3 linked regions of the Drosophila melanogaster genome follow. The protein of the gene in region 1 interacts with the protein of each later gene in a pairwise test. Each region holds a gene or a part of one and is shown in the gene's direction. Other genes may lie near its edges. The genes, in order: CG14853, spas and Upf3.

What was found.
Region 2: the proteins of CG14853 (region 1) and spas interact in a two-hybrid assay, tested with the Drosophila melanogaster proteins (one large-scale study listed by BioGRID).
Region 3: the proteins of CG14853 (region 1) and Upf3 interact in a two-hybrid assay, tested with the Drosophila melanogaster proteins (one large-scale study listed by BioGRID).

Annotation. Positions count from the first base shown.
Region 1 is NT_033777.3:14,605,839-14,615,374, forward strand, and holds the start of CG14853 (uncharacterized protein), read left to right. Parts: upstream 1-3,803; 5' UTR 3,804-4,269; intron 4,270-7,974; exon of another isoform or gene 7,975-8,202; intron 8,203-9,536. Other genes in the region: stumps, read left to right, coding at 1-1,660.
Region 2 is NT_033777.3:24,036,402-24,047,991, forward strand, and holds spas (spastin), read left to right. Parts: upstream 1-1,813; 5' UTR 1,814-2,107; coding exon 2,108-2,861; intron 2,862-3,193; coding exon 3,194-3,364; intron 3,365-3,509; coding exon 3,510-3,695; intron 3,696-3,904; coding exon 3,905-4,071; intron 4,072-4,166; coding exon 4,167-4,419; intron 4,420-4,477; coding exon 4,478-5,223; 3' UTR 5,224-6,253; downstream 6,254-11,590. Other genes in the region: Miro (mitochondrial Rho), read right to left, coding at 1-417, 530-1,147; Rox8, read right to left, coding at 7,563-7,744, 7,796-7,889, 7,957-8,865, 9,037-9,264. UniProt on the Drosophila melanogaster protein: ATP-dependent microtubule severing protein. Stimulates microtubule minus-end depolymerization and poleward microtubule flux in the mitotic spindle. Regulates microtubule stability in the neuromuscular junction synapse.
Region 3 is NT_033778.4:23,890,418-23,899,566, reverse strand, and holds Upf3 (Upf3), read left to right. Parts: upstream 1-4,579; 5' UTR 4,580-4,799; coding exon 4,800-4,892; intron 4,893-4,949; coding exon 4,950-6,092; intron 6,093-6,148; coding exon 6,149-6,391; 3' UTR 6,392-6,447; downstream 6,448-9,149. Other genes in the region: Lpt (lost PHDs of trr), read right to left, coding at 1-56, 121-243, 303-897; CG5339 (uncharacterized protein), read left to right, coding at 1,420-1,512, 1,568-1,852, 1,910-2,449; CG17658 (uncharacterized protein), read right to left, coding at 2,868-4,304; DNAlig1 (DNA ligase 1), read right to left, coding at 6,448-7,061, 7,115-7,740, 7,796-8,428, 8,489-8,779, 8,835-8,897, 8,955-8,971.

The DNA of each region.
Region 1 (9,536 bases):
CAATGTGGTGATTGAAGCACATCCCGTTAAGGCCGGAAAGACCAACAAGCCACCGAAGGAACTGCCCACGGCGGAGTATATGGAGATGTCCAGTGGATCGGAGCGGGAGAACACACCTGAAGTGAGGACCAAGACGGAAACCCTTGCTATCTCGAATCTCAACTACATAAGTGTGGAAACCGAGGACGAAAACCTGCAGGCTTCCGTGGCCGAAAAGAAGGTGGAATCTGAAAAGAAACTGCCCGAGGCTGGCAATCAACCTGGCCCGGAAAAGACCACCAACGAATTGAGGATCAACGAGCCACCCTACTATCAGTCCAAAGAGCAGAACCAGCAGCCAAAGGAACTCAAGAACCAGAGCAAATCCCTGGACGAAGTGGATGCGGCGCCACTCTATCAGACCGACAAATTCAGCCAAGAGTGCTCGCAACTTTTGGAAAACCAACTGGGCAATGACTACGTACTGCAGCCCTCCAATGTGCCGGTGGCCCAGGATGATGGCAACTATTTGTTCCAGCCATCGAATAGACCCGTGGAGGAGCCCCTCCGGTTAAATCGGTGCACCAACAGACAGCCCGGATATGGAACACTGAAGCGCAGTGCCAGCGACGCATCCGCCGCCAGTCACACAAGATCCAATGCCGACGATGAGCTGGCCGAGATTATGCACGATTTTAAGAACAACGTGCTCTCCATTCGGGACGTGGAAGTGCTGGTGGAACGCTGGAAGCACCGCAACGATGTACAGCAGAGCTTCCGGGAGAAACAGGATCAGATCGACCAGCTGCGACGCGAGTACGAGCGCATCCAGGAGCAGGTGAAGTCTCATCTGAAGCGCGAAACGCCTTTCGAGCGGATCAAGAAGTTCTTCTTGCGATCCAAGACACCTGGGGGAAACGACAGCCTGCTGGACGAGACCAAGTCATCGATAGCCACAAGCTGTAGCTTCAAGTCCGCGGGGGGCGTGAGCTCCAGCGCAGGAGCTGGACGTCCCATCAGTTCGCTGAGCCTACAGAGTGTGTCCAGCTCGAGTTCCTCCTCCGGCAGACTAAGCACCGGCAGCAATTGCAGTGGTGCCTCGCTGGGAGATTCGGGTACCCACTCGGATCACGAGGATCGTCGCTTCCCGCACTGCCGGATGATGGACAACTACATGGTGCCACCGACACCGAGACCCGTCTTTACGCCCAGCTCAACGCCCGGTGATGAGCGTCATCAGATTGTATTCCCCTCGCCCATGTCCAGTTGCCAGCGCTTGAACACACCCACCAGTCCCACGGGATCCGAGCACTACCAAATGTTCCCCTCGAACATACCCGTGTACGGCAGCCAGCCACTGGTTGGATCCCAGAGCAGCAACTACCTGAACACCATCATGGAGGCCAAGGAGCAGGCGGAGACACAGCACTACCAAAACCAGAACGGAGTCACCCTGCAGCCCATTAAGCTGAACGAGCGATCGAACATCATCTACGGCAAGCTAACCAAGAGCAGCTCCGCCAGCGGATGCAGCTCCTTCAAACCCAAGCAGATCCCAGTACCATGTCCCCAGGTGGGCAGCATCGAGGTCCAGGCCGAGGTCTACCAGAATGTGGGTGACGTTGCTCCGGAAAAGGACTCCAAGGCAGAGGAGGAAACGCCAAACTACATGAACTGCTAGGCCATCCCAACGACACATATTGTAATCGAAAGATTCGAAAGATTTTCATATATTGGTATTCGTTCGATTTACATGCGAGATTTGAATTTTGATCGAAATCGAAATCCTTAATATTTGCTTAGTCTGTAAGCTCATCCATTGCATACTAAATGAAAGGATAAAATGAGTATGAACTAGTTATCGGTATTCTAATTATATGTTTAAGATATTCGAAAGAGTGCCTTGGGCCTTTGAAGTTTTTGAAACGGAAATTGGACAGTTAGAACATCAGAGGTCTCAAGATCACTTCGGATTACTTGTATTATCTCTGTAGTCTTCGGTTTCAGCGACTAATTGTACATTTGTGAAACGATTGCAAGCAACCAAATCAACATATCGCTAGCCTTTAAGTATAGATCCTAAGTCGATACCAACAAACCAAGCAGCTGACATATCAACGCGATTCATTCAACTCTAGGAATACCCACCCCATTTAGCGCTAAGATACCCACCTTTGGCATGCCGCTAAGCATGAAAAACTCGTTCATTCTCGACTCCTCAACCCGCAAAGTTAAACGCAATAAATTTTTTTATATATAAGCAAAGTCAAACCTATTTTCATTTGCACGTGCGAAGGACGTGATGTTTGGTGTGGCAGGACTTGTGGGAGGCAAAGTGTCCGTGGCGAACAGGAAATCGTGCGGAATCCCTTGCAACACGCAAAACGGGATTGCAACTGCCAACGTAAATTTCCCTTTTTTCGGAAACAAACGCAAGCTTTCATTTATGCTGACTGGAATGAGTTTTTCGCGCTTTCGCCCAAATAGAAAAGCGAAATGGAAAAGTGGAACGAGTTAAATAACACAAATGCTTGTAGATCTTTTTTCTGCTGACAATCTAATGGCCGCTTAGGGATTAATGCTAGCTGCAAAAAAAATTAGGAATAGCATTAATTCAGCTTATGACAGTCGGAAATTGTAATGGAAGTTTTTGGAGCACTGCTTAAACAAAAATTATTGCACCAATCATCCCTTGACCTTTTTGATTGTTGCAAATGTGCAAGGACCGTAGTTGAAGGACAGCACAAGCACATTTTTTCAAGAGTTCAAAATGGCATTCTTTGCATTACACATCACAATATTTAATATTCAGATTAAAAATGATATTTACTGCACCAATACCAGGGAGATTTAATTTTGTTCCTCCCCCAAAAGCATGCCACAAAAATGCTGAAAAGCGAAATGCGGAAACCTCATAGGAGTACTCAGTACCCAGCATCCATCCTCGTCGGGCTGCCTCCAGCATCCGCCACTCGAGGGCATACATGGATCCATATATGCAGTGTAGCTGAGGAACAAAAAAGAATACCATAAATGTATAAGCAAGGATTCGCACTAAGCCGGCATCTCTTAATTCACACTCAATGGGCCGCAAAAATCTCTCGCTGCGCTCCCGTTGCGTACGCTCTGCATAGTATTTTTCCCAGCTGGCTTGCCACTCGCGTTGCATGAACACCCACACTAACACTGATAAATCTATACCTTCACAAAAACACACACACACAGAGACGGAGGGCAGACAACATGGCCACAATCAGTCGGCCATCAGTCTTTGGCCTGCACCATTTCCGTATCCGCTCCGCTCTGTTGTTTGTTTTGTTTCTCTGCTGTAACACAGCGATAGAGTTACAGAGAGAGCGAGAGAGAAAGAGCTTTGTAAGAGCAGAGCTTTTATATGAAAGGTTTACAATATTCAAAATACCATTAAACTTACAAAGATGCTAACATTTAATTTTGAAATAATTTAATACATAATAAATGAATAACTAATTAGTTATAAAAAATGGGGTTGCAACAATCAGTGGCTTGTTTCATTGTATAATTCTGTATTAAAACACAGAAAAATACAATGTATTATCTAAAGTATATATATTTATAGGAACGTATGGTCATTACTGAGAAAACAAAACTCTCCAAAAAACCATTTCATTAAAAATTAGCTGAAAAGTACTTCATCATACCCCTCACTGCATACAGGGTATTCAAAAAAGTGAGAGCAAAGCGCGTTGAGAGAGAGAAAGCTGGCAAAAGAGAGCGGGAGAGAGCCGAAAGCTTTTACTTGAGCAAGGTAAAAGCGAACAAGTGTGTATAAAAAGGACATTTCGTTCAGTCGTCGACTTTGTTAATTAAGCGAAACTGCGACGCAAAAAAGCGGAACAAATTTTCTTTGGCCACAGAGAAAAACGTTTCCATTTTCCGCTGCAACAAATTATTTAAAAAGTAAAACATACTGTTTGTCGTTTACTTGCATAAAAAACAATCGTGCATCTGAAAATTGTGAATGTTAGCGCGTAACCAGTGAACCAAAATCGAAGGACGTGTTTTGTGTGTGTAAGTTTATGCAAAGAAAACACTTGCAACCATTTTTGCAGCTTCAACTGCGTAGAAGCCAAGGAAAACACACGTTAATTACATTATACCCACGCCGCAGAATCTTTGATTCGCTGAAAGTCCTGGGACTCAGTACTAATTAATCCTGGGACTTGCTGCTTCCACAGCTGGGAAAATTCCGAGAGGCTGCAAATGCATTAAGCAGGTGGACGGAACACCGCACACCGTAAATAATTGAAGGTAGGTGAAGTTGCCCTGTCAGCAGGCCAGTGAAACTGATGCCAGATTTCAACCCACATCACCGCCACGAATCCACGCATTAACCTTCGTCCTTGGCGGGAATTGTGTGCTCTTCTGGTCGGCATTTTTGTATATTTTAATTATTTATTTCTGCCACTCGAGAGCGGTTGCCACCCCAGAGTGCTGAGCACTCGAAACTTTCTGCACAGCAACACATTTTTAATGATGTGCTAAACGATCATCTCGAGGCCCATGTAAATTTTCACCTCGAAATGCGGAGCTTAACCCCTTGGGTTTTCATGCGACATATTTGTAAAATGTAGATGCTGGCAAAAGGAAATGCCCTATGGCCGAAAATAATGGAACGATGTTGTTGTCTAATTATTTTATGTTGCTTAGTTAGCTTCCAGTTTCACTGTCTAGAAATATACAAGAATTCACATTTTAGAACTACTTTCTTAAACAATTTAATCTTGTTTTACAAAAGTAATAGGCTTAAGTACGTAGAAATCTTGCCATTTGATAAAAATTATATAGATAGATAGGCATCTATTATTTTTGCCCCATAAGAAGGATAACCCTTGGGGTTATTTTTTTGTTGAGTGCAAAATTGAAACAACAAAATATATCCCCTTTATTGCCAATTGAAAATATAGAACATTATATGTGCATTCTCTTATTACTTTAATTTTGAAAAATACATTTAAAATTGAAGTGTGATGAACGCATATATTGCAGTTTAATATCAATAAACAAAAAGTCTAAAAGTGAAAAATAATTTTTGCAACACTTAAAGCGCCAAACTCTGCAGACTGGTGACTTAGTGCATATAGTATTTTCCGGGTTTGTGACAATCACTTCACTGGTTTTTTGTTTCGGGCTCTTCTTGGCTTGTCACCAGCGTCTTTGGGTCGAGTTGGCGGGCACTCATAAATATTTCAAGAAGTCAAAGCTGGGCTGTGTATGTCTTGTGTGTCCTTTTCCTAGCAAATATGTAAGCAGCCGCAACTTGTTAGCGTGTGTGCCTGTACAAACACTAGCAAACGACAGCGTTTCGGCTTCGCTTTCTGTGTCAGCCAGCGGCTTTTTCATCCTCTTCATCATCTTCTTGGCCAAGAAGACGTCGCATTGTTGCTATAATTTTAATTACCACTTGGGTGACTTTTGCGCCGTGAGTCGGTGAAAAAGAGACTCACTGTATGAGTGAATGAATGAATGAATGGCACAAGACAGGCTGCCGAGTGGAGGCTAGAAAGCATCTGAAAGACAGAGTGTGTATGTGTAGCTCGCATATATAAATTCCTGTTTAGGTATAATGCAGAACCGACAAACAAAAACCCTTGCAATACAATGCGAACAATTTCAGAGAAAAGCCGCATTGTTATGGCAAAGCCACAGGCAACTGGAAAATATTGCGCATACGCCGCGTACGGCTGCCACTCAAAGTTATGCTGCGTATGGGAAATGTTACACACAGCATAATTGCTTATTTGCCGCTTCGGTGGCGATCTAAACCATATTCGGTTTAGACACAGACGAATAGATAACCATCCCCCATCCGCCAAGTATCGATTGTAATTCATACAAAGCCAATGACCACAGCGAACCGCCCAAATGTCCGTCCTTGGGCGTTTTGTTGGCGGGTGGCAGCAAATTAAACTTTCTATAGACAAGTTTTTCGGTCTACAGAAACTTTTTCTTTGCCATATTATAATACCTAAGGAGCGATAAAATATGAGAGAAGCTTCGCAACCAAACGACGTGGCTTGAAATGGGGTTGTATTTGTTTCCATTAAAGTAGATACTTGAAATTTTAGCCATCTACAAGATTTCCCTGGCGAATATTAAAGTACTTTTAGTTTTCTAATACAAGTTTCCTACGAAAGTTTGGAAAGTTTTGGCATATTTAATGTTATGGGTTGTCAATTCAATCGACCGTCATTTTATGAGAGTACTAGTCAAAGTTTATTGAATTTTTTCGACATCCATTCCTCATATTTTCAGATTCCTTTGAAATTCTAAAGCCAATTTCTGCTGGGCTTAGAAAATAAGCATAAAAGGTCACCAAAGCTTACACAAGCCACTTTACATTGATTGGAAGAGCAAAAGTTGCGATGACTATGTAGTTAGCAGTCAAAAGCATAGGAAAGGTACTTTACCATAAGGTACTGTTACCATAATATTTGGGCAACGAATAAAAAAGACAGTTAAATGGCCAACGCTTGGCAGCCGCTCAAAGAGCCGCAAACGTAATTGCAACAGCAGCAATAGCGATAACAACGTTTTTGGGACGATCATTATAATCATGCAATTTGGCCCACGTCCTTTCAAGGACTGGACGCTTTCAGCCAAAGGAAGAAAATATTTACAAAGAATTGTTATTGCAGTTTGCTAAGTCGTTTGACTGTGCTGTCCCATGAGCATATTTATACTCTATCATAAATTCGCCTTTTATTGACAACATTTTGCCAGGCGACACCACAGAACGAAAAACAAACTTTATTCTTCAGGTTTTTGAGGTTTTTAAAGTAGCACATTCGTGAGCTTTAAATAATAACCATACTTTTGGAAGAGGGTTACTTTAAACAGGAGTATTAAACAAAAAATTAGCAATTTATAATTTGATATGCCTTGTTTAAACATAAGGCCTGTAAATATAAATAGATATCAAATATGAAGGTTTATTAAGATAATTAAAAAGTATATGCAAAGGTATGCAAATGTGCTGATACCAAGCTTTACCCATACAGTTTTTTACTCTGCATTTATTGGCCTGACCAGATGGGTTTGCTTGCACTATTTGCCGGCTAAAAAATGTATTAAGCGGAAAACTCATTAACGGCTTGTGTTGTGATTGGCCAATGGCAAGGACCTTGGATTCGGTAGTGTCAGCTCCTTTGGTTGGCCAGTTAGTTAGTTGTTGGCAGGCGATGGAACTTCGACTACATATTGCATGTTGTTTTGGCTCAAATAAGCCCCAACAGGCCGGCAATTTGGCAAACATTCGTATGGGCCTAGCTGGGGATTGGTATCGCAGTCAACCCATTTAAGTGTTTGTTATAAATTATTCGGCGCATTTTCAAACTGGACAACCGAATTGCAGTAACGGCAATGGCTTTTTATGCAATTTTACTGCACTGTGGCCGCCATCTGACCCCATGACGCATTTGCAACATACATACGCTCACTATGTGGCACAAGTGGCTCACGTACATACATAACTTTCCGGTTCGCCGACTCTAGATTTGGCTCAAACAAAACGGGGTTGGTTGCCGTTTAAATTCAGGTACGGCCAACTCTTGGATGGAAATTCAATTTGCCCGCAGACATTTTAATTATGCAAATGAAAATGATTTGAGTACGTAGCCAGCACCTGTTTGTGGTCTCATCATAGACAAAGTTTTCCTATTCAATTCCTTACCACGTCATTGAAAATACCGACAAATTGGCAACTGCTCTTAAAATCACATAAATTGCGGCTTGCGAAAAACTAATTAAACTATCATAAAAGCTATAATTTGTTGATAGCATAATGACAATAATTTATAGTTGTCGATAAATTACGTACCAAATTGTCTGCTTTTGAAGGTTAAAATAATCGCAATTTTTATATTAACGCATGGAAAATAATACGTTAATAAGTATATATGAAAATAAACACTCTTCCCATCAGAATTTAACTATTCTAGTACTGTTTCCTTGTTTCTTTAGTTGGTTTGAAATCTCGAAACTGACAAAAGCGAAACTTTAGTTTATAACAGCTTTAGGAAGTTTCGAAACGTTGAATTACTCAGAAGAAAACTTGTTTTGAAATTAGTTTTTCCACTCGTGTTAATTGAGCTCCACTGAATAAGTTAGTGCTTAAGAGCGGAAAAGTAAAGGGTTTTTTGTAAAAGAGGAAATCTAAAGCTGTCATGAGAATTGTGGCACATGGTGAGTAGTCGCAAAGTACTTTTAAAAGCTTTTTTCCAAAACAGTTCCCCCAACGAGCAACATGTCCTTTTTCGCAACCTTGTAAAAGTCTGGGCTGAAAATTAGCAAAAAAAAAATATATACAGATATACTCGTAGGATTGGGAATATGGCTGCAGTCCTGCGATTGAGTTTGCGTGACAGGATGAGCCAGACATGTCTGACATTTGGAAATGCCAGAAAGGATCAACCGACAAGTAAACAAATCGCAGACTGACTGACTGACGTGTTGTTTGCAGAGACAGAAAGAGAAAGCACGTCACCGGGCGACAGAGACGGGTGACATGAGCCAGCAATTAGGATTCAATGCATTGGGTATAAAATACAATTAAGGGCCATTTGGAGCAGTAAACAAGCAGTGAGCAGCGAAAGCCATGCCCGTTTGGTTTTGGCTACAGCACGTTGCAAGATGGTTATTATTATTTCAATTACGGGTATTGATTTTACAGCCAAAAGGAAAGTACACACAAAAAAAACGCTTACGATTGAAAATCAATTCGTCATATATACGAGCATACAATATATATCATAACAAAGCATTTTGATTTTTTCTAACTATCAAGGATGTTCTTTTTTTTTGGTAATCTAATTATTATATTTTTTATTAATTTGTAATTCATTATTTTTCCCGTGCACTTCAGAAACCAGAGCCTCATAAGTAAATCATTCGACAGCCGGGCATTAAAACAAATGTATTGTTTTTAGTGACGACCCTCGAGTCCTTGACTGCGAGCGCTTTCAATTATTGAAAGGAGCAGACAGCCGAAACACACGCACATACACATGCACACAGTAATACTCACGCACACACACTTGCACTTCGATGGCTGTCTGCAAATGCTGCATAAATAACCGAAAAATTCATTGCATACCTCGAGGCGTGGTGCATGTCGTTCGCCAATTAAAGGCCCGTTTGCAAGGAAGAACGCCAACAATTTCGCTCATTTGCCCTCTTCGCACTTGGCTTTCGCAGCCGGCGAATACTCGTATGTTCGCGTGTCGAGTTGGCCTATTCAACTAGTTGGCCAAAAAGAGAAGCCGCCGGCAATATTCCCCCAAAACCTCTATCAGCCGCTTCATTGAATTTCGCTTCTTGTGTAAAAAGTTCACTGCAGGAAAATACGTTTAATTGCCTTAGTTAAAATTACTTGGGTATATAAAAACAAATTTGAATTTTACAACGAAATTCATAAATTATTTAGTAAAGTGTAAAGAATCTGCTATTGGGGAGAGAGAGGCTTTTTTCATGTTTACTAAAATAAATCTAAAATGAATACATAATTTTCAACCTTAATC
Region 2 (11,590 bases), 9.4 Mb from region 1:
ATCGCGATCATAGCGCTCAAACACGGCAATCAGAAACTGCTGTCCGCGGTGCGAGAGTTCTGTGCTGCTGCCAGGCGGTATTTTCAGCGGTGGCCTAAGATACTCCTGGCACATCTCCAACTGGTCGTTATAGCCAAAGCGCCGTAACACCGCCCAGGTTGTCTCGTTCCTTCCCCGCTGAATGAAAAGGCAGTGTAAGAAGAGGAAGCCCTTCAGGGTGACCGCATCGTTGTATATGCCATCGGGCACATTTTTCTGTATCACGGCCTTCACCTCATCAAGGATTTGCGGCTGGAGTGGTGTGTTGAAACAGCGTCGCTGGAATAAATTCAGCTCGTAATCGTTCAACAGATTGTCCCCGTCAATGTCGCAGATCTTGAAAATGCGCACCAGCGACTTCTTGCAGGCGGATGTGAGCTGAAAATGCGAAGTTTTATTAGAAGAGTACAAGCTGATTACCTATCGCAAAACCGCCAATTACGGCGCAATGATATAGTTGCGACCTATGATCCACTCCGGAAGCACTTACCTCCTGTTCTTCCATCATATACAGGGGAGAAGTCGGGTGCAGCACAGCCTTCTGGGCGTAGTAAAACATCTCGGAGATGTTGTGCAGCGACTTGGCAGAGCACTCCACGCAACTCTCAATCTCGGGGTAGTCTTCCATGATGGCCAGCACGCTGTCCATGGTGGAATACTCGATGAGGTCTATTTTGTTACCCACCAGAACGATTGGCTTCCGAATGGGCTCTCGTTGTGTGTCTCCTTCCGCCTCCGCTTCGGCATCACCCTCGCCGTCCAGGGAGGGATTGCACTTGGCCCGGACGAGCGGCAGCCAATGGGATGTGATCCGATCCAAAGTGTCGTCATCGTCCACGGCGTACACTATGCACACCACGTGCGCCTTGTTAATTTCGGCGGCCAGGGCATCCTCCGACTGCTCCACGGCCGAGAAGTCAACTATGCTGGTGGGCACCTGCTCGGGCGTCACGTTCGCCGGAATGGTAATCTCCTCAGCCCTAGGCGGAACCTCCTCCGGGTACTCCTCACTGACCAGAGACAGAATCAACGACGTCTTACCCACCCCGGCGTCGCCGACGAGCAGGATCCTAACATTCTTGCGCTGCGACGCCGTGTACTGTCCCATTCCGACTGCTCTCCAAGTGAGATATGCCGCTCCTGTGCTCGTGCTCTGCTGGTCAGAGATCGCTGGCGTTTAGGCCGAAATTCTAGGATTTTGTTATGCAAAAACGCAAAAAAAAACAACCCAGAGTGATGGGGATGGCAGTAGGTGTATCAAGGTCGATATATCGCAACCCAGCTACCAGGGCTGCCACACTAGGCGACCGCCAAATAATGCGATATTTTTCCCCAATTTTCCGGCAATTGTGTTTGAATTCTACGAATTTAACAAATCAAAACTATTATTTCGATCAGTTGCTTAAAATTGATCACGTAATTTAAATATTTCCATCCAAAAACATCGGATCCGAAACTGTCTGGTAACTTTATTGACAGCTGGATCTCTACGATATGACAAGTTAGCGTTTTTCCGCTAAATCAGCCAACCGTTAAGGATGTTGTAAAGGACACAAAATGTTTTCTGTTAAAAATATTCGTATAAACAAAAAGGAAATGATAAACAAGGCAATAAATCAAACTTACCTTCAATTACGAATGTCTCCATACTGCACTTCGGTGAAAGTCTCCCAAATTATATTTCATCCGTTACATTCCACCATTTAAACTTTGAAATTGCCTGTTTGTCTGACTTCACAACCTTGCCCGCTAGATTTGGTAATCGATAGTTGGTCAGCACTGGCTGGGACTCCAGAGCTTAGCTTCAATTTTCAACGTAGTGAGAGTTGTAAGTGCGGAAGAAAATCAGTACTCTCGGATATCAGCAAAATGAGCACTAGCTCAAACGACGTACAACAATAATATTCGAGATTTGTTTGTTTTTTTGTGCGGCATCGATACAAACGCGTGCCACGGCCAACCGATTTGGCTTACAAGGATAATTTCCCCGTGCAACTTTCACGGGGTTAGGGCAAGGAGAGCAGGGGGCCGGAGTGCTGGACGCGCAGACAGCGCGGAATCGATATCGATGGTACGCACTAAAAACCAGTCGTCCTCCTCCAGCGCCAGCAGCAGCAGCACCAAGTCACCAATAAAGTCCAGCAGCGGGGCAGGATCATCCGGCGGAGGACTCGGTGGTCGCCAGTCCACTCACCGCTCGTCGAGCGCCTCAAACGTTGCTGCCGTTGTTGCCGGCGGTTCATCTGCCGCCGGTGGAGGCTCCTCATCGAATCGCCGTAGTCCGGGCAGCTCACCCGACGGCGACGACGACACCACCACCACAGATGACCTGACCCCCACAACGTGCTCCCCACGCAGCGGCCACCACCATTCGTACGGCGGCTACTCGTCCTCTGTGCACAAACAGAACCTCTACGTCGTCTCGTTCCCCATAATCTTTCTTTTCAACGTTCTGCGCTCGCTGATTTATCAGCTGTTTTGTATTTTTCGCTACCTATACGGTGCGAGCACAAAGGTGATATACCGCCCGCACCGACGCGACTGTAATATTGAAATCGTGGTGCAGAATTCCTCCAAGGAGCAACAGCAGTCGTTGAACCATCCTTCGGAGCTGAACCGTGAAGGTGACGGACAGGAACAGCAGTTATCCAATCAGCCACAGCGTTTCAGGCCCATTCAACCGTTGGAGATGGCCGCCAATCGTCCGGGAGGAGGGTATTCACCTGGTCCCGGCGATCCATTGCTGGCCAAGCAGAAGCATCACCATCGACGCGCCTTCGAGTACATCTCCAAGGCGCTCAAAATTGATGAGGAGAACGAAGGTGAGTTTCGGCGACGGGGGTGGCAGCTCCAGTTCGAGTTCGAGTGCTCGAATGCTCAATGAGTCATCGCCCGCTGTCCGCTTTTGTTGTCTGTCGAGTGTGAGAATCAATAAGGCAAAACGCGCGCACAATGGATGCCCCAAATGTCAACAGGAGTAGGGTTGTCTGCCTTGATGGACTTTTATGGAGTGGAAGTTCTCCAAGCATGCGATTTTTAAATTCTAATGCATATAAGCGTACTCTTTGTCAAATTATTTATAAGAGGAAAGCGAGCTTGATTGAACATAATAGTTATAAAATAAACATAAAATAATATTATTCTATATATTCAGGTCACAAAGAGCTGGCAATTGAGCTCTACCGAAAAGGTATCAAGGAGCTAGAGGATGGCATAGCTGTCGATTGCTGGAGTGGACGTGGTGATGTGTGGGATCGGGCTCAGCGCCTGCACGACAAGATGCAGACAAACCTTTCGATGGCGCGGGATCGTCTCCATTTTCTAGGTAAGTGACCAGTCATATTTCCTATACCCCTAAAACATAGGATTTGTTTACCTCATTTTTTTTTTATTTCATTTTGCACGTTTTCCCCTGCTTTTTTGTTGTCCCCTCCGTTTTGTCCATATGCACATGTTCATCCGGTGCGCAGCTCTGCGTGAGCAGGATTTGCAAATGCAGCGCCTCTCCTTAAAGGAGAAGCAGAAAGAAGAGGCTCAAAGCAAGCCGCAGAAGACCAGGGAGCCCATGCTGGCAGGAATGACCAACGAACCAATGAAACTAAGGGTGCGCAGCAGTGGCTATGGGCCCAAGGCCACCACCAGTGCCCAACCCACTGGTAAGTTCCTCACCAGCTAACGCGCACCCAACAAGATCCTCACACGCCAGCGCAAAGCCACCATAAGCAGATCGATTAGTCAATCCCTATCACCTCACTTGGCACTTGATTTTCTTAGAATTTTTTATTTCGATTGGCCAAATTGTAAACTTGTAAAAGAGTATATTCTTCCGCATTATCCATCTCTGATTGTGCTAATTCGTTCACAGCATCTGGCCGCAAACTGACAATTGGATCCAAACGACCCGTCAACTTGGCCGTGGCCAACAAATCACAAACGCTGCCCCGCAACCTTGGCTCCAAAACATCTGTAGGCGCAGTCCAAAGGCAACCAGCCAAGACAGCTGCAACGCCTCCCGCCGTTCGGCGACAATTTGTGAGTATCTGATAAGTAAACTAAATTTGTTTTTACACATTTGGCAAATACTCAGAAATTAAAATACTAATTAAACTAAATTACTCATATTACAGTCTTCGGGGCGTAATACGCCGCCCCAGCGTTCGCGGACTCCCATAAACAACAACGGACCCAGTGGCAGTGGCGCCAGCACTCCGGTGGTTAGTGTGAAGGGAGTGGAACAGAAGCTGGTGCAACTTATACTCGACGAGATCGTCGAGGGTGGGGCCAAAGTGGAGTGGACTGACATTGCCGGTCAGGATGTGGCCAAGCAGGCTCTACAGGAAATGGTCATTCTACCCTCCGTCCGACCGGAACTCTTTACGGGTGAGTTGGTTATTCTGCGACTAGAACCGTCACCATAACCAATCTTCTTCCTTTTTAGGGCTTCGTGCACCGGCTAAGGGTTTATTGCTGTTTGGTCCTCCCGGAAATGGCAAGACACTGCTGGCCCGCGCCGTGGCTACTGAGTGTAGTGCCACCTTCCTGAACATTTCGGCTGCCTCGCTGACCAGCAAGTACGTGGGGGATGGCGAGAAACTGGTGAGGGCTCTCTTCGCCGTGGCCCGTCACATGCAGCCCTCCATTATTTTCATCGACGAGGTGGACTCGTTGCTTTCAGAGCGAAGCAGCAGCGAGCATGAAGCATCGCGTCGCCTAAAGACCGAGTTTCTAGTGGAGTTCGATGGGCTGCCTGGAAATCCAGACGGAGACAGGATCGTGGTGCTGGCCGCCACCAATCGACCGCAGGAATTGGACGAGGCAGCCCTGCGTCGGTTCACAAAGCGCGTTTACGTCTCACTGCCCGACGAGCAAACCCGCGAGCTGCTCCTCAATCGACTGCTCCAGAAGCAAGGCAGTCCGTTGGATACCGAGGCGTTGCGTCGCCTTGCAAAGATAACAGACGGATACTCGGGCTCCGACTTAACGGCACTGGCCAAGGACGCCGCATTGGAGCCCATTCGAGAGTTGAATGTGGAGCAAGTGAAGTGTCTGGACATCAGTGCAATGCGTGCAATCACAGAGCAGGACTTTCACAGTTCGCTCAAGCGCATCAGGCGCTCGGTGGCGCCGCAAAGCCTCAACTCATATGAGAAGTGGTCGCAAGATTATGGCGACATCACCATCTAGTCTGTTCTAGCCAATGATCCTGCCCTCCTTCATCAATCCAATTTGGAGAAGCTGTGATGTGAGTCTCAGAGCGCAACCCATTGTCGTTACACTAGTTTTGATTATGTGACCCATGTTTTTCGCCCTTAAGGTTCTATTCAATCCGTAGACTTTTCGTTTCACAAACATTGTTACATTTGTATTTACCTGTGAGTTATTTAATATGATTTGTTTCCCAGCTATTTCTGGTGTTTTAGCCTAAGAACATTGTATTGTATTTTTTCGTTGTTTAACCACCATGTCCATGTGGTGCAACATTTGCCATGCAGCTCCATTATCGTTATACTCATACTCATGGTATATATTTCTAAGATCTGTACTTTTCATTGGAGTTCTTAGAATAGTAGGTTTGCCCTATCTTCGTTTATGATAGTAATTCAAGGCCACATTGCTTTATAAATTAGTTTTTTGAAACATTCCGTAGTGATTTTTTGTAAGACAGGCGGCCCAAGGAGTTCACAACTACTTCCATTGTATCCTTGAACTATAAAGCATATTTTTGTTGTACATTGAGTGCCCATCCACAAGCTACATGTAATCTAGAAGTAAGCGTAGACCTAAGACCGATGATATACTTATACACACCCACAAAGATACATTTACCAGCGCAGAATCGTATTTAAGTTTTAATAGTTATCACTGTCCGTATGGTTAGTCTAGTTTAGTTCCTTTGTTTCAATCTATGTACCTACAGCCATAAATACAATCGTCTCCGATTCACCTATATTATTAGTAACACACCCAAAAATGTTGTACCTAGCAGGTGCGTATGGATCTGGTGTTATCAGATCGATCAGATACATCTTCACCCGCGCACATGCCCGTCGCTTATCGCGACACATTGAACCAGCTTCAACGCAGCTCGCCCACCCGGAATTTGAGTTCTTTGACTAGTTACTAAACACAGATACAAAAAAAAACTACATGCATATAAAACTATATATATAAAGAAATCTATAGAATACGCTAAATAAAATCGATTTCAAGAAACATCAATTGCATTCTTAATCATCAACAAAATTCTAAGCTATTGGAAACCATTGGTAGTGTATTGAGAATTGAGCAACGGCTGACATCACCAGGTGCATTTAAATTAAGAGAAAGTAAGCAGAAGAATTAAGCATTCATGAAAACTAGTTTCGCAGAAAAACTGCGTCTCACTAGAGAATATTAAAGCTATAAAATTCATTCATGTATGTATGTTATACCTTAAGAAAACTTTTTAGCACAATTGTAAAAGTTAATTACTTTTTAACTATATTTTAGACTCCGCTGAATCCTCCACCAGATTTGTAGTAGTAGTAACCACTTCTATCATCAATGATATAAATTAAAGTTTGAAATAATAATTCCACATCCTAATTCATTACCTCAATATAAAAACCAGCGTCCCTTCGTTTTCTCACTTGTTTTATATATTTTTTTGCTTCTTTATTTTACATTTTACATATTTATATCGCATTTCGTTTTCCACATTGGAAATATACAATATGTATGCTCGAATTTACATTCTCTTAGTGACTAAATTTGTTTTTCCTCTTGTTTTTGCATTCGGCTTGCTTGCTTGCGGCTATCCTTTCATCCCACTGAAACTACCCTCTTTCCGTCTTCAGTTTTCGTTGACACATGTTCCACATAGTTACAATTACAATTTGCTTTGTCACGTTTTTGTTTCGATTGTTTTCTTTTTGTTTTAACTCTGTCGCGCGTAATTAGCATTTTCTCTTTTCAGTTTTTATTTGTTTGTTTTTGTTGAATTTCTCATTCGGTTTATTTTATTTCCGTTTCGTTTATACGCCTATATCTGCTTAAATTAGAAATCATTAAATTAATTTAACACGTACTTAGATTGGATTAGATTGTTACAGCTACCCGCCCATCGCCCGGAGCTTTTCAATTGATGTTCTTTCAGTTGTCGCCGGCGTGGATCACTTGAAGTTGAGCTCCACGCACCGCCTTAACGTTCGACTTTGGGGGGCTATATACCACACCCGATTCCGCTTCCTTCCACCGCAGTCAGCCGCAACCGTAGCCACAACTTCAAAGTGGACACTCGCGCATCCTTAATAATCTCCAGATACATTGCCACCGTCAATGTGGCTGCTGCCGCTGGTCAACGGCATGGCCAGGAGCGGCTCCGACTTTGCTACTACTCGGTATTGTACGTAACCTAAACGTGCGTAATGCGCTTGCAACTGCTGCAGGTGCGGAAGCTGATGCAGCAGAGGTGGTTGTGGCTGCGGCTGGGGGCGACTTCCCGGATGCTGCAAACGGCGTCGAAGCTGGCGTCACATCTCAGCTCATTGGGTCTGGTATTGTGGCATCGCAGCACTGTACATCATTTGGGGGGCAAGTGATCCGTTCGCTGCAGCGGCCGCGGATGCTGCGGCAGCCGTCACACCGGGCACCACAGTTCCGGGCACGCCCCATGCTACATTCGGCGGCACCATGCGGTATCCAGCCGCTGAAAATTGTATGCAAGCTGTTTAAGCCAAGGTCACGATTATTCAGCAACTGAGAAAAGTAAACTTACGGACTCCTCCCGCTTGCTGAGCACTGGTAGGGTAGGCGTAGGGATAGTAGCCCTGCTGCATGTATTGCGTCTGCATCTGGGTTGTGGGATAAGTCTGCAGAAAAGCACAAAGTTAGGGTCAATCTTTAGGTCACTGCGTATTTAAAGAATACAACACTTACCGCAGGTGGATACCAGTAGCCCATCTGCTGGTACGCGTATGGATACTGCGCCGCAATCTGCTGGGGTGTCATCATTTGGCCGGGTATCGCCGCTCCTGTTGCGGCGGCGATCTGTTGCTGCGTCATCATCTGACCGGGCATACCCGCTCCAGCGGCAACCGCAGCATTGGCTGCCGCAACGGCGGCAACATTGGCAGAGGCTGCTGCCGCGGCAGCGGCGGCATTGAGGTTATTGGCCGAGTTATCGCCTCCGTTCTCTTTGCCCCAGAAGCACTTTACCAGGTTTCCATGTACCTCGCTGTTGTGCGTGTGCTCGATGGCGTGGGCGGCTGCCTCCTTGGTAACAAACTTGATGAACGAGAAGCCCTTGTCCTTGAAGACCCGCACGTCCTGGATGGGACCAAACTGGACGAAGTGCTTGTGCATCAGGTCGTCACTGATGACATTCGGCGGGAATCCGCCACAGTATACGGTGGTGTTGGTGGGGCTCGACTGGTTATACACTTCCTCGAAGGTGTGGCGTTGACTTCCCTTTACACCGGACCCATTGCCCGGTCCGCCACCCATTCCGCCTCCCTGGCCTCCGCCCTTGGAAGGCTCGCGTGGTGGTGGCAGCTTGCGCGTGGACCAGTTGGTGCGTATCGAGCGCGAGCCAATCCACTGGCCGTTCATCGCCTGGATGGCGTTCTCTGCCTCCGCCTTTTTCACAAACGACACGAAGGCGTAACCCTTTGACTTCATGGTGTGAGGGTCGCGCACAATGCGACAGTTGGAGATCTCTCCGAATGGGGCGAAAGCCTCGCGCAGTGTTTCTGTCTCAATCTCGGGACTGAGGTCGCCCACGAATATGTGGTGGTGCGAACTGATGTCTGTCTTCGGCTGATTGCCGGGACTGGTGGCCCAGTTGACCTGCGAAGAGCATTCGTTTAATAGGTAATAATCAATTAAGTTCTACATAATTAAAATAACATGAGGGCTTGGTCGTGGGGAATGTGTGTGTTGCAAGAGTGTAGTTTCGAACAAAATGAATGAAAATGACCGCTGTCCACTTGATAACTTAAGAGAAGCTAATCAGCTTACCTTGATTTCCTTTTCGAGGAATAGGCGTTTATTCATGGCGGTCAGAGCTGTTGTGGCTGCCTGGTAGTTGGAATATTCGATGAAGGCATATGGATCGTTGCCCGGTTCCCGAATGATTTTGCAGCTTTTGACGGGCCCCATGGTGCTGAAGAGGGCAATTAGCAGGTCCTCGGACACTGAGCTATCCAGGTTGCCCACGTATAGGGTCTTCGGTTGCGACTCGTCCATGGCTGTCGGATGTCACGGGACTGTGGCTTTTTTGATCTGATTATACACTAGGCTACAGCGACAATCTACTGACTCTACACTAAAACCGGAATTGCAACTACTGCACCTGGCCGCATTAATCGGAAGGGGATGTATCAAAAATTTGCAGATTAAGTTCCTAGCTACGTACAAAATCTAAAGTGTCTGCTAATTAAACAGGTGTATTTGCGGCAATCTAATTGGTGCTAGCTGCTAACAGGAAACTCCAAGAGAGATTTGAATACTTTGATTTTCTACTACTTTCGACTTACTCTCGGCTTGGCTTGATTTTTTTGGATTATATAAACTTTATATGCTCAATCTAGGTAGGTTGATCTATTTGCTTAACGCTGAGGTTCGTCGTTTATTGCTTTATTTTGTTCCTAATCTGGCGCCTAATTGAAAATTTCGTTAAACATCTATATGTATACGTATAAATATATCTGTCCTAACTAAACGCTAATGGAGTGTTTTGGAATATACGATTAGTCGCCTAATATATATGTCTATAATCGGTTGACTTCCTTTCCTGGGGGCCTGGGATTTGGATTCGGGGTTTCTTGGTGTACACTACTTGGTATTTCAGAATTGCTCGATCCTTCTTCGATGATCCGGATGTTGTTGTTGTGATTATAAATAGTTGTCCGTTCCAATATACAGGATTGTATAAATGTACATATGAATACTTGGTTGCGACTACTTATTCTTGCTCTTGTACAAAAATTAGTTAGCTAAGTTAAACAGCGTGAAAGTTCGCAGGCTGAGTGTACTTTTCGGGTTTCGAAGCTGACCCCTGGAATCGTTGCTGCTGTAAAAGAGAGAGGTAAATTTGGGTTAGTTTTGCGCTGATAACCGGAAGAGTGGGACAAGGTCTAATGGCACATGATCGGTGGGCCTTAAAACAGGCGCAAATGATATGGATATAAATCGACTACCCCGCCCCGCCCCCTTTTCGCATGATGGGAACAAAGAAGGCGGCAAAGCAGTGCAGGGACACGCACACACAGACGCACGCTCACACACACTGGCGCACACGAAAAACACGGGGAGAGTGAGTGAGCTATCTTCGGAGCGAGAGAGGCGGGTGGGAAAGGACAGGGGAAAGAGACTGCCTGTCTTTATAACAAAGCGAATGGCCAACAATTGACAATAGCCATTCATTCGCAACAAATTTGCGGGCCTTGCAAAATGATTTAGTTTATAATTAATATATTTCTGTATTCACATTTACAAATTTTTTTTTGGGCCACTCACGCACAGCACACAGAAATGCACACTCAGGCACGCCAGCGAGACGAGGGCGAAAGGAGAACGACGAAAATCGACTAGAAGATGAATGACCGTCGATAACAAAATGAGGAGAAAGAAAAACAGGGAAAAGGAAGAGAAAGATGTGGGAAATTTTGCGAAACCGGCGGGCGGGTGACACACACGGTTGCATTAGATTCGTGTTCTTCTTCTTCACACTTTGCGAAATCAAATTTTAATTTGCATAGAACTAAACTTGATTTTGATTATTTCTGCGGCGGCGGCGCTAGAAAATGTCAGTCAAAGTCACAGAACTGAAGAGACGGCGAAAAGGGAATGGCGGGGTGGTTTTGGTTGCTCATTTGCTGCTTATTTTCTTCGTCTCTTTTTCGCACACACACTGACACATTAGCACCGACACGCACACACACACACGCAGAGAGAGGCGTCTTGCGCTGGTCTTTTTGTTTGCGTTTTCCTCACATGAGTCTCCACTTTTCTTTTGCTTTTGCTTTTTTCCGCTTTTGGCTATTGAGTGTATTTAAACTAATGCCAATATACCAATACCAAGACGATTTGAATGCGGGACTTTTCATTTGCCTTTTCAGCTTGCCGCTATATGTACGTATATGTATGTATCTTGTTCGCTTTTGTGCTGCCATCTTTTAATGCCGCTCCCCCGCCACCAACAACCGCCACGCCTCCGCCCCGACCCTGCTGCCTGACAGCGGTGCCGAAAACTGGGCTTAACAATTATCGTCCCCGCCGCACTATAGTGCATTCGCTTAATGTCCATTGTTCAGACTCGAATTTCGCTGTCAAAATTCGCACTCTCTTCTTTTTTCTTTAATGCGCTCTCTGTGACGTGGCTGCGTTTGTAAATTTACCGCATTTTACTTGCTCTGCACTCTGTTCGCACACTTCATTTGACGGTCAAGTTTAGCCGCTACCGGTTTGTATTAATTTTGCGAAACTTTCAAAGTTGTTAGGGGCTGCAAATGTACGTTGAACGCGTCGCTAAAATTTTACCTTCGTCGTCTAAAATGCGAACTAATTAATG
Region 3 (9,149 bases), on another chromosome or scaffold:
CTGCCTGCAAATCTGGCATTTTGTGCAACGGGCGCAGTTCCACCCAGAACGCGTATCTATGGAAGCATTAAACATGTAAACATGTAAACCAATGGTACGATGGTACTTGACAGTAGTTACCCGGCAAATTGGCCAGACCAATGCAGGTCGAATGAAAGTGGTCTCCGCAGGTACTACACATGATCAGCTTGGACAGATCCCCCAGCGAGGAGCAGGACAGACACTCCACATTATTGTCGCTGCCTGTAAGTCATTTGTTTCCATTAGTTTCTGTGAGAGTTTGCTGCCCAAGAATCACTTACATATCACAGGCACCTGGCTCAAATGTTCCGTGCAGAAGACCGTAAAGCTCTCGAGGATCAGAAGGCACCCAGCAGCGGCGGCACACGGCCAATGGTGCACCTGGCGGCAGTTCATCTTGCAGTTGATGGAGGCCCCGTAGCGTCCACAAAAGTTGCACTTTTGCTCCAGGAACTCCGCGAAGTGGGTGGCAAAGTACGCGCCATCTGCATCGCTTATCTGACTTTTGCGCAGCGACCACATGATGCACATGCGGTGCACGTAGACGAACCCCTCGTCAAGAAATTCGGCGGGATGCACGACGTCCGGCTGTCCAATCTTGTCCAGCTCGTAGTGACAATCGCCCGAACTAGAAGCGGCCTGCTTAGGCCCGTATAACAGCCTGGATCCGTCCTCCCTCAGCCGATCCGTCGGATATTTATCCTTGATCTCGGCGGGCGCGGGCGCCTTCAGTTGTAGAATCTCGCCCTGGCCCAAGGCACTCTTCTCGCCGAGATTGCATAAACAGCACACCTTGCCCGGAAACTTCTCCGGGAAGTACGGCAGGTCGTCGGCCACCGCCTTCTCCTCCATGCTCACAACAACGTTCGTGCTCATCGCGGATTGATGCGTTTCATTAAAATAACAAAAAATAGCCGCCGCTTATTTTGTATACATTACTCGACAGCTAAATAAAATGTCAACGTGCATCGCGCCCCAATGTTATCGAACAGGCGTCAATGTTGTCGAGAACGATGTGCGTTCGTTTGCAGAGCGAGTAGTACAATTATTAGATATAAATATAAAAGTCTTCCTTATATTACAAAGTATTTATACTTTTAAATGGCAAATCAAATATAACATCATATTTTAATTTTTTTTATGCGGCTACAAATTAATTAATTAATTTCTGAAATTATACATTATAAATAATAATACACTTACATTAGGCTGTCACGCCTACATATCGATATACCTTTACCAATCGCATTCAGCTGATCAAAGTGCAACTCTGCAATCCAGCCCTGGAAAAATACCGTACTCCAGTTCTTCAAACTGGAAAAATGATGGCACAACTAAGTTAAACACACAGAAGTAGAAAATGTAAATAAAAGCACAATTATAGACTATTCTGTTAGCATGGCTGTGTATCGTCCCCGCGGCACCCTGGCCAGGGTAATCCACGCCAAATTCCACAACGACAACTCTCTGGAGGACATAGACACTCGGAAGGTAACTCGAAATCCCGAAACAATATGATTTTTCCTAAATTCTGGATGCATTTCAGTGGTACTGCCTGAACCACGAGCTGCCGCCGAGATTCCAGTCCAAGTTCGTGCCGCTCGAGCCGGATGCCACCACCGTGAGCTGGCTGGAGCGCACCAAGGCGCTTTCGGCAAACATCTGGACCCACTTGTGGCACGCCCTGGCTCGCTCAATCCTGCAGTTCTTCATGACCCAGACGGACATCAACGGGTTCCTGAAGCGCGGCTCCATGTTCATACTGTCCGAGGAACAGTTTCGCAAGCTGCTAGTAGCAGGCGGCTTTCAGCCTGCCAGCGGTCAAGAACCTGTAAGATGAGTAAAAGCCTTTAGTCTTGACCACTACTCATCTGCCATCATATCGTAGGTCACGTTGCTGGATATCGGAGCCGGGGACGGTGAGATTTCGCTGCGCGTGGCCAACACCGTTTCCGAGCTGAGCGGAAGTGCCGGGCTGCGGGTCTTCGCCACCGAGGCCAGTTGGACCATGCGCGATCGGCTGAAGAAGCTGAACTTCAACGTAATCACCGAGATAGACGGTCTGCAGAACCTGGAATTGATTCTGTGCCTCAACGTATTGGACCGCTGCTTCGATTCATTCAAGCTGCTCGAGGACATTCACCTGGCACTAGCTCCCAATGGTCGAGCAGTTGTGGCCTTAGTACTTCCCTACATGCACTACGTGGAGACGAATACCTCGCATCTGCCGCTGCGCCCGCTGCTGGAGAACAACGGGCGACAGGCGTCGTTCGAGGAGGAGGCGGCCAGGTTTATGGAGCTGCTGGAGAACTGTGGCTACCGCGTGGAGGCATGGACCAAGGCGCCGTACTTGTGCGAGGGTGATCTCCACCAGTCGTTCTATTGGTTAATCGATTTAATTGTTGTCATTTCCAAGAAGACATTCTAGATCAAAGCTTCCACATCCTAAAAAGAACCCTTCTGAAGTTATTGTAACCGTTTTCCTCGTAGAGTTAAGTGGCTGCATTGAGAAACTGAGCATTTATACTTATTACAAATGTAGGCTATCAACTAGTTAAACAATTTATTCTTAAAGAATTACCAAAAATGTAAATGGATAAACAAACATGTTTAAATTAAAGGGCGACATTCAAAGCCGCGTTCGAAACTGAATACTGTTCTCGATATTATCAACTAATTGTAGTTATTCTACAGTCTTGGGTAGTTTTAATGCATCTAACTTGATACTTGTGGCAGTAATCAGGTAACTTAGAATATGTATTTGACGAGCAGCTGTTTAATAACAAATGTCAGTATTGTCGAAGGTATTATGTGTACTAAACTAAGCCTTATATAGTCTTTGGTAGTCATTGGCATTTTTTTTTGCTTGTGAAAATAACCTCGAGGTAGTTATTGGCATACACAATCCTCTCGGTATCTTCTGGTGCTGGATTGTGCAGTGGCAATATTTCACGATAGGGATTGCCCATTATATTGTAGGCTCTCTCGATGGCAATCTTGCTCTTCTCAGCGGACAATGTGATGGCCGCGAAATCGGAAATTGCCTGAGCCCTTGAAATCGAAGTGTAGCAAATGGGAACACCAAAAGATCGAATAACACTTGACAAGCAAGGCTTCCATTCGTTTTCGAGTGGAACCTTCCTTTTCATATACCTAGAAATTCTCTGGGTTACTTTACCGACTCCGAAGAAATCGGGTTGCATGATGAGAATCAAGGTGGGATCCACATTTAGAATACAGGAATATTGTGAAAATGACAGGGGGTAAAAGCATTTCACCACGGTTTGTTCAAAGCTCCTGTCGCTGAATTTGATATCCACTTGGTCGATGCGCCCAACGGTTCTTCCAATGAAGTGTAATTCCAGATTACGAATGCTTGGGTACTGCAGGAACAGAAAACGCAGGTGCATGTCCTCGAAGTAGCGCAAAGTGTCCTCGGTGGCGCCGGCCACGTAGACTATGACAGCTTTATTCGGATCTGGGACCCAGGAAATGTGCGACAGGGCCAGGCACAGACTTGCGATGCCGCTGAAGGAGGAACAGGTAGCGAATAGCTGGTACGATTCCAGATCGGTCCAAGGAGTGTCGCTGATCCGTATGTCGGTGGCTTCGGTGAAAGCCTTGATTAGATTAGACTCTTTTAGTGGGCAACTGCGGTAGAAGTCCTTGATATTCACTAGACAGTTCAACTGACGAAACGGAGTGGCAATCAGAGCCAGGGTCTGGCAATCCTCCGGGGTGTGATAGCCCCTGACTAGGCGTTGGTGTGCCGCGGAGCAGAAGGCCACTCCGGCACATCCTTCACAGTCCTCGAGAGCTTCAGTGCTGAAGCACACATCGCACACGGCTGGGTTGCCGATTAGCTGATGCTCCCGCTGATTCAGTGGTCTGCCCAACTTGGCCAGCAGGACCATCTTTAGCTGCGAAATGACGAGCTGAAGCTTCCTGCGATCGGTGATTTGGCCGAGCAGCTTCAACGGGTGATCGATCTTCATGGACTTCTGCAGATCCCTCAGCACCTCGCAGAGTGGCTTGTGTTCTTGACGATCCGCCACGAGATGGGACAGGCTGCAGTATCGCTGCATATTGCAGCCTCTGCATATCACGCTGGGCTTCACATGTGCTTTCTCCAGAAGCGTTTGCAGGTGAGCAAGGTTCTTTTCCACCTTGTCCGATTCCTTGGTGAAACCTTGTATCAATTCTGTCCAAGTCCTGCCCTCATCGGAGACGCAGACGAAGCACTTCAGAAAGGATCCCACTGGTGGATCTACCGGCGCCATCATTTTGCAATGCTCAGATTCCTGAAAACGATGTTACTGCATCATGTGTCAAGCTCTCTAGAATGTCCATTTACTCATTACCTTGACCAAGTTTCCTTTTATTCATTCAATTCGAGCATTTAATGTGCCAAAACAGTCGAAACTGTTTAAAAGTTGAGCATGATATCTGCGTACCGGTCAAAAAAAGCGCTCTTGCAATGTGGATTTAAAGAACTAGTTCCAAAGATCTAGATACCAGAGCCTTGTCGTAATTGCCAGAAATGGCACAGATATTTCAAGTTCTACTTTCCTAATATTTGGCTAACTAACTAAGTGACTAACTTCTTTGATAGAATCTATTTTTTTTTACTAGAATAATTGGATATAGGTTCCACTTGTGAACTTTAGAATTTCTTCTAGTTCGAGCCGAAAGTGCCATCTCTATCGGTTCCACATCATGTTTGCATTTGTTGGCTTTTCGGCTTTGTTTTGATTTTTGTAAATAAAAAGGAACAGAAAATGGCTGAAACTTTTGCCGAGGAAAAGCCCAAGGAGAAGTCCAAGGCAAGCAGGCGCAAGGACAAGAAGGACAAGACCAATCAGATCGTTAAGGTACCGTCCAGACTGTCTTAATCCCACGATCCTCCGAAACTAATGCATTCATTGCAGATTGTGATGCGGCATTTGCCGCCGACCATGACGGAGGCGCAGTTCCTGGATCAGGTGGGTCCTTTGCCGGAGAACGACTCGTATTACTACTGCAAGGCAGACTGGTCGCTGGGCCAGGAGGCCACCTGTCGCGCCTACATCGATATGTCCTCCAAGGACATAGGCGAGGTGGTGCAGTTCCGGGATCGCTTCGACGGCTACGTCTTCGTCGACCACAAGGGCGTCGAGTACATGGCCATCGTGGAGTATGCTCCCTTCCAGTGCTTCCTTAAGAACAAGGCCAGGAACGACGACAGCAAGGTGAACACCATCGAGAGCGAACCCCACTACCAGGAGTTCATCAAGCGGCTGGCCCAAGAGCGCGAGGAGGCGAGTCGCATGGGCGACGTCAAGATCGACTTCAACTTCGAACGGCGAACAGAAGAGAAGGTCAAGTCTACACCCCTCCTGCAGTACCTGGCCAACAAGAAGGAGAAGCGCCGGGAGGAGGCGCGCAGGCGGAACGAGGAGAAGCGGAAGCAACGCGAGGAGCAGAAGCTGTTGCGATTGGCAGCGCAGTCGGACGCCAGCAAGCTTAAGGAGGCCGAAGGAGGCGGCGGAGGAGGAGACACGAAGAAGCCAGCCAAAAAGGATGTCAAAGATCCGCAGTCATCTGGATCCCAAGCCAATGATGCCAAGGCCTCGCGCTCCAAACGACGAACGGAGCGGGATCAGAGGCGACGCGAGGAACACGAACAGCGTAAGCTAGTCAAGCGGGACAAGAAAAAGGATGACGGCCAGGGCAAGCAGGACAAACAGGACAAACAGGACAAAGGCAAGCCATCCAGCGGCAAGCAGAACAAAAATTCAAAGTCCATGGACATCGTTATCTTGAAGAAAGCAAACAAGCCAGAATCAAACGAGAGTTTGGACGTGCCATCCACTTCTAACGCTGCGGAGGCCTCGAAAGAAAAGCCTGCGACTGAAAACACCGAGACACCAGAAGCTGCTGTCAAGGTTTTTACACCGGCTGCCAGAGGTGGTCGCAAGGAAAAAAGAACCGGCGCAGACAAGCAGCCAGCAGGTTCCGCCCACGAAACTGCAGAGGAAGCCATCAAGGCTGCTCAATTTCGAGCTTCAGAGGAGCGGCGCATTCGGAATAAAGTGGGTCTCACCTATTACCCCCCTCGACATTTTACTAACCCGCTTGATGTTTACAGGATCGACCATCGATTGCCATTTACCAGCCCAAAGCCCGAATTCGTGCATCAGATGAGCTGCCCCAAGGTGCAGGCGGCAAAGATGGCTCGGATGGAGAGGCTTCCGTGGTGGAGGAGAAGACTTCGAAGAGGAACAAACGCCCCAATCGGCGCAACAAACCCAAACCGAAGGAGGTGAAGGAGTGTGAGCTCGAAACTCGTCGCTTCTCCAAATCCTCCGAGAGCAGCACCAGCGTCAAATAGCGATAACAGACTTTTATTGTTAAATAAATCGTGTACACATGGCTGGAGCAGACCGGTCAGTAGAACTCGTCCTCCATCTCCATTTGTGTGCTCGACTTTTGATTATTTTTAACCTGATCCTGCGACTGGTACATGTGGGCCACCTGATTGGCGTCCGTTGCGTTTTCGCTATTCTTGTCGTCGCGTATCCGAATGAACCGAGGGAATCTCAAGGAAATGCCCCGCTCTCCGTCCACAATGCCAATGGCTGCTCGGTGGATCGGACTGAGCGACAGATCCGCGCATTTGACTTCCCACACCTGGACCGGTTCAAACCAGTGATCGGGCTCCAGGCTGGGGTCGTATCTGTAGTAGGATTTGGCGGCGCTGGTCACATGTTTGCCCAAAAACTCGGAATGCGTTTGCAGGTCCTCATCAGTGAAGCCAGTTCCAATCTTGCATATGCTCTGATACTCCTCGTTTTCGGTGTCATAGCAGGCAAGCAAAAATCCTCCGTAGGTTCCAGTTCGCCGGCCCTTGCCTTTGTAGCCACCAATGACCACCAAATCGAGTGAGTCGCCCACATTGGATAGGTAGTCCTTCTTCAATTTCAGCCAGTTGCGGGATCTCTTGGCAATCTCATAGGTGGCCTCCTCATCCAATGTTTTGACCATGAGGCCCTCGCAATTTCCTAGTGAAATAAAGCTTAAGTAAACAACTTTTAGGTTGGTTGGCAGGGCAAACCTTTGATAGACTCCTCCAGGAACTGCTGCACTTCGTCTATGTCATTGGTGTCCAGAGCAGTGGCGAACTTCCACTCGCCCTCGACCTCTTGAAAGTGCTCCAACAGGAGCTTGCGACGCTCCGACAGGTTTTTGGTCACCAGAGCAGTGCCATTGATGTACAGCAGATCGAAGATGTAGACACAGACTTGGACCTTGATTTCCTCGATATCAACGTTCTTCCGTTTGCGCGTGCTGAGCACCTGAAACGGCAGAATCTGCTTGCGCTCCACATCCCAGGCCACAATTTCGCTGTCTATGATGTAGGACTTTACGTCGCCCTTGAGCAAGGCAGTGCTCCTGGCAATCAAATCCGGATATTTTGCCGTGTTGTTCTCGGAGTTGCGCGAGAATATGCTGATCTCCCCCTTCTCGTTGCGGTGGATTTGGGCCCGCTCTCCATCGTATTTCCACTCGCAGGTGATTTGCATGCCGCCGAATCTCTCAAATACCTCATGGACCCCCTTGGTGGGCTGGGCGAGCATGGGCCTCAGCGGCATGCCGGGATGCATGGGGCAGCGTTCCTGCAGCTCCTTAATATCGTACTTTAGAATGGCCGGTATAATGATATCGTAGTTGGGACACTGACTGCAAAAGTTCGTTAGCATCTGAATTATTAGCTGGTTCTTAAGTTAGTTCTTACCAGTATGCAGTTTTCAACAGCAAAGTGGTGTCGACTATTTCATCCTTATACACATCCGGCACCTTGCTAGCCTTGCAATCATCGATGTGGTTCTTTTTCACCAAACCAATGGCCAGCGCTGTGAGCAAACTCTGCTCTGCAATGCCAATTCTTAGCTTGCCAATCAATGAACGGATAAAGAAGCGAGCCTCCGACGATCGACAGGCCACAAACATATTGTACACCAGGTCCATTTTCGACTGACCGGATAGCTTGGCTATTTCGCGTAGCTTCCGGAACACATCCCTCACATTCAGAGGCGCTGGCTGGAACATCATGCGCTGTGAAACGCGCGACTGCTCGGCCACGATGCCCAGATCCCCGGTTAGCTGCGTCTGCGATTTAATGTGAGCCAAATTACGCCCCGTTGCCTTGCAAATGGCCTTCATCAAGGTGGTCTCGGCAACGCCCAGCTCCAGTCCCTCGTAGGCGGGCGCCAGTTGGTTGATGCTGAGGTAGACGCTGGGCACAAGATCCTCCGGACTGACCAGCATCACAGAGCAGAAGAAGTTGCTCAGCGTGTCGATCATCTTGAGCCGGCCTTTGGTCTCCTCGATTACTTGAAATGTGCGGGCCAGTGCCAAGTAGGGAGTGCTGGAAAGTGTTTCCTTTGATATAATTCGCCTTGGAGGCTCAAAATCCTGCACTACTTACACCTTTTTGTCCTTCCAGTAGGCATTCTTGAGCGGATGATAGGAGTCGGCGGATGGATCGTAGTTTTCCACATCCTCCTTAGTAGCGGCAGTGGAGTTGAGACCTATGGTTGTGACCTTCTTGTCAGTGGTCTTGTCATCGACTTCCTTTGGTTCCTTCTTAACATTTTTCACCGGACTTGTCTTCTCCTCGGAATCCACAGACATAGGTTCTACCTTGGGCTTAGTTTCCGGGGAGGCACTTTCGCTCTTGATGTGGGGTTCATCTGGGAGTTCGGTCTTCGCATCAATCCTATGATTTGTCGAGGAATTTAGTAATGAAACAAGAAAACAGCGGCACCATTTACTTAGGAACTTTCTTGGGCGGCGAGGGGCTGTCGGTGGCATCGGATTTCTTCTTGAAGAAGGAGCTGAAACGGGGGATTGTTAGATTGGCAATACTTAGCATTTGTTAAATCGTAAATTACGTTATAGACTTTTGCATTTTGTGGCAATTCTGTGTTCAAATAAATACAAATTGCAATGCAATTAGTTCCCGCCAGTTTCTAGAGCTGGTCTTCAGTATCGATATATTGAAATGGAAATGCTATCGAAGTTGAAAATTTTATTAGTAAACATAAATTAAATGTTTATGCTACATAATTGAGAAATATTATTACGTA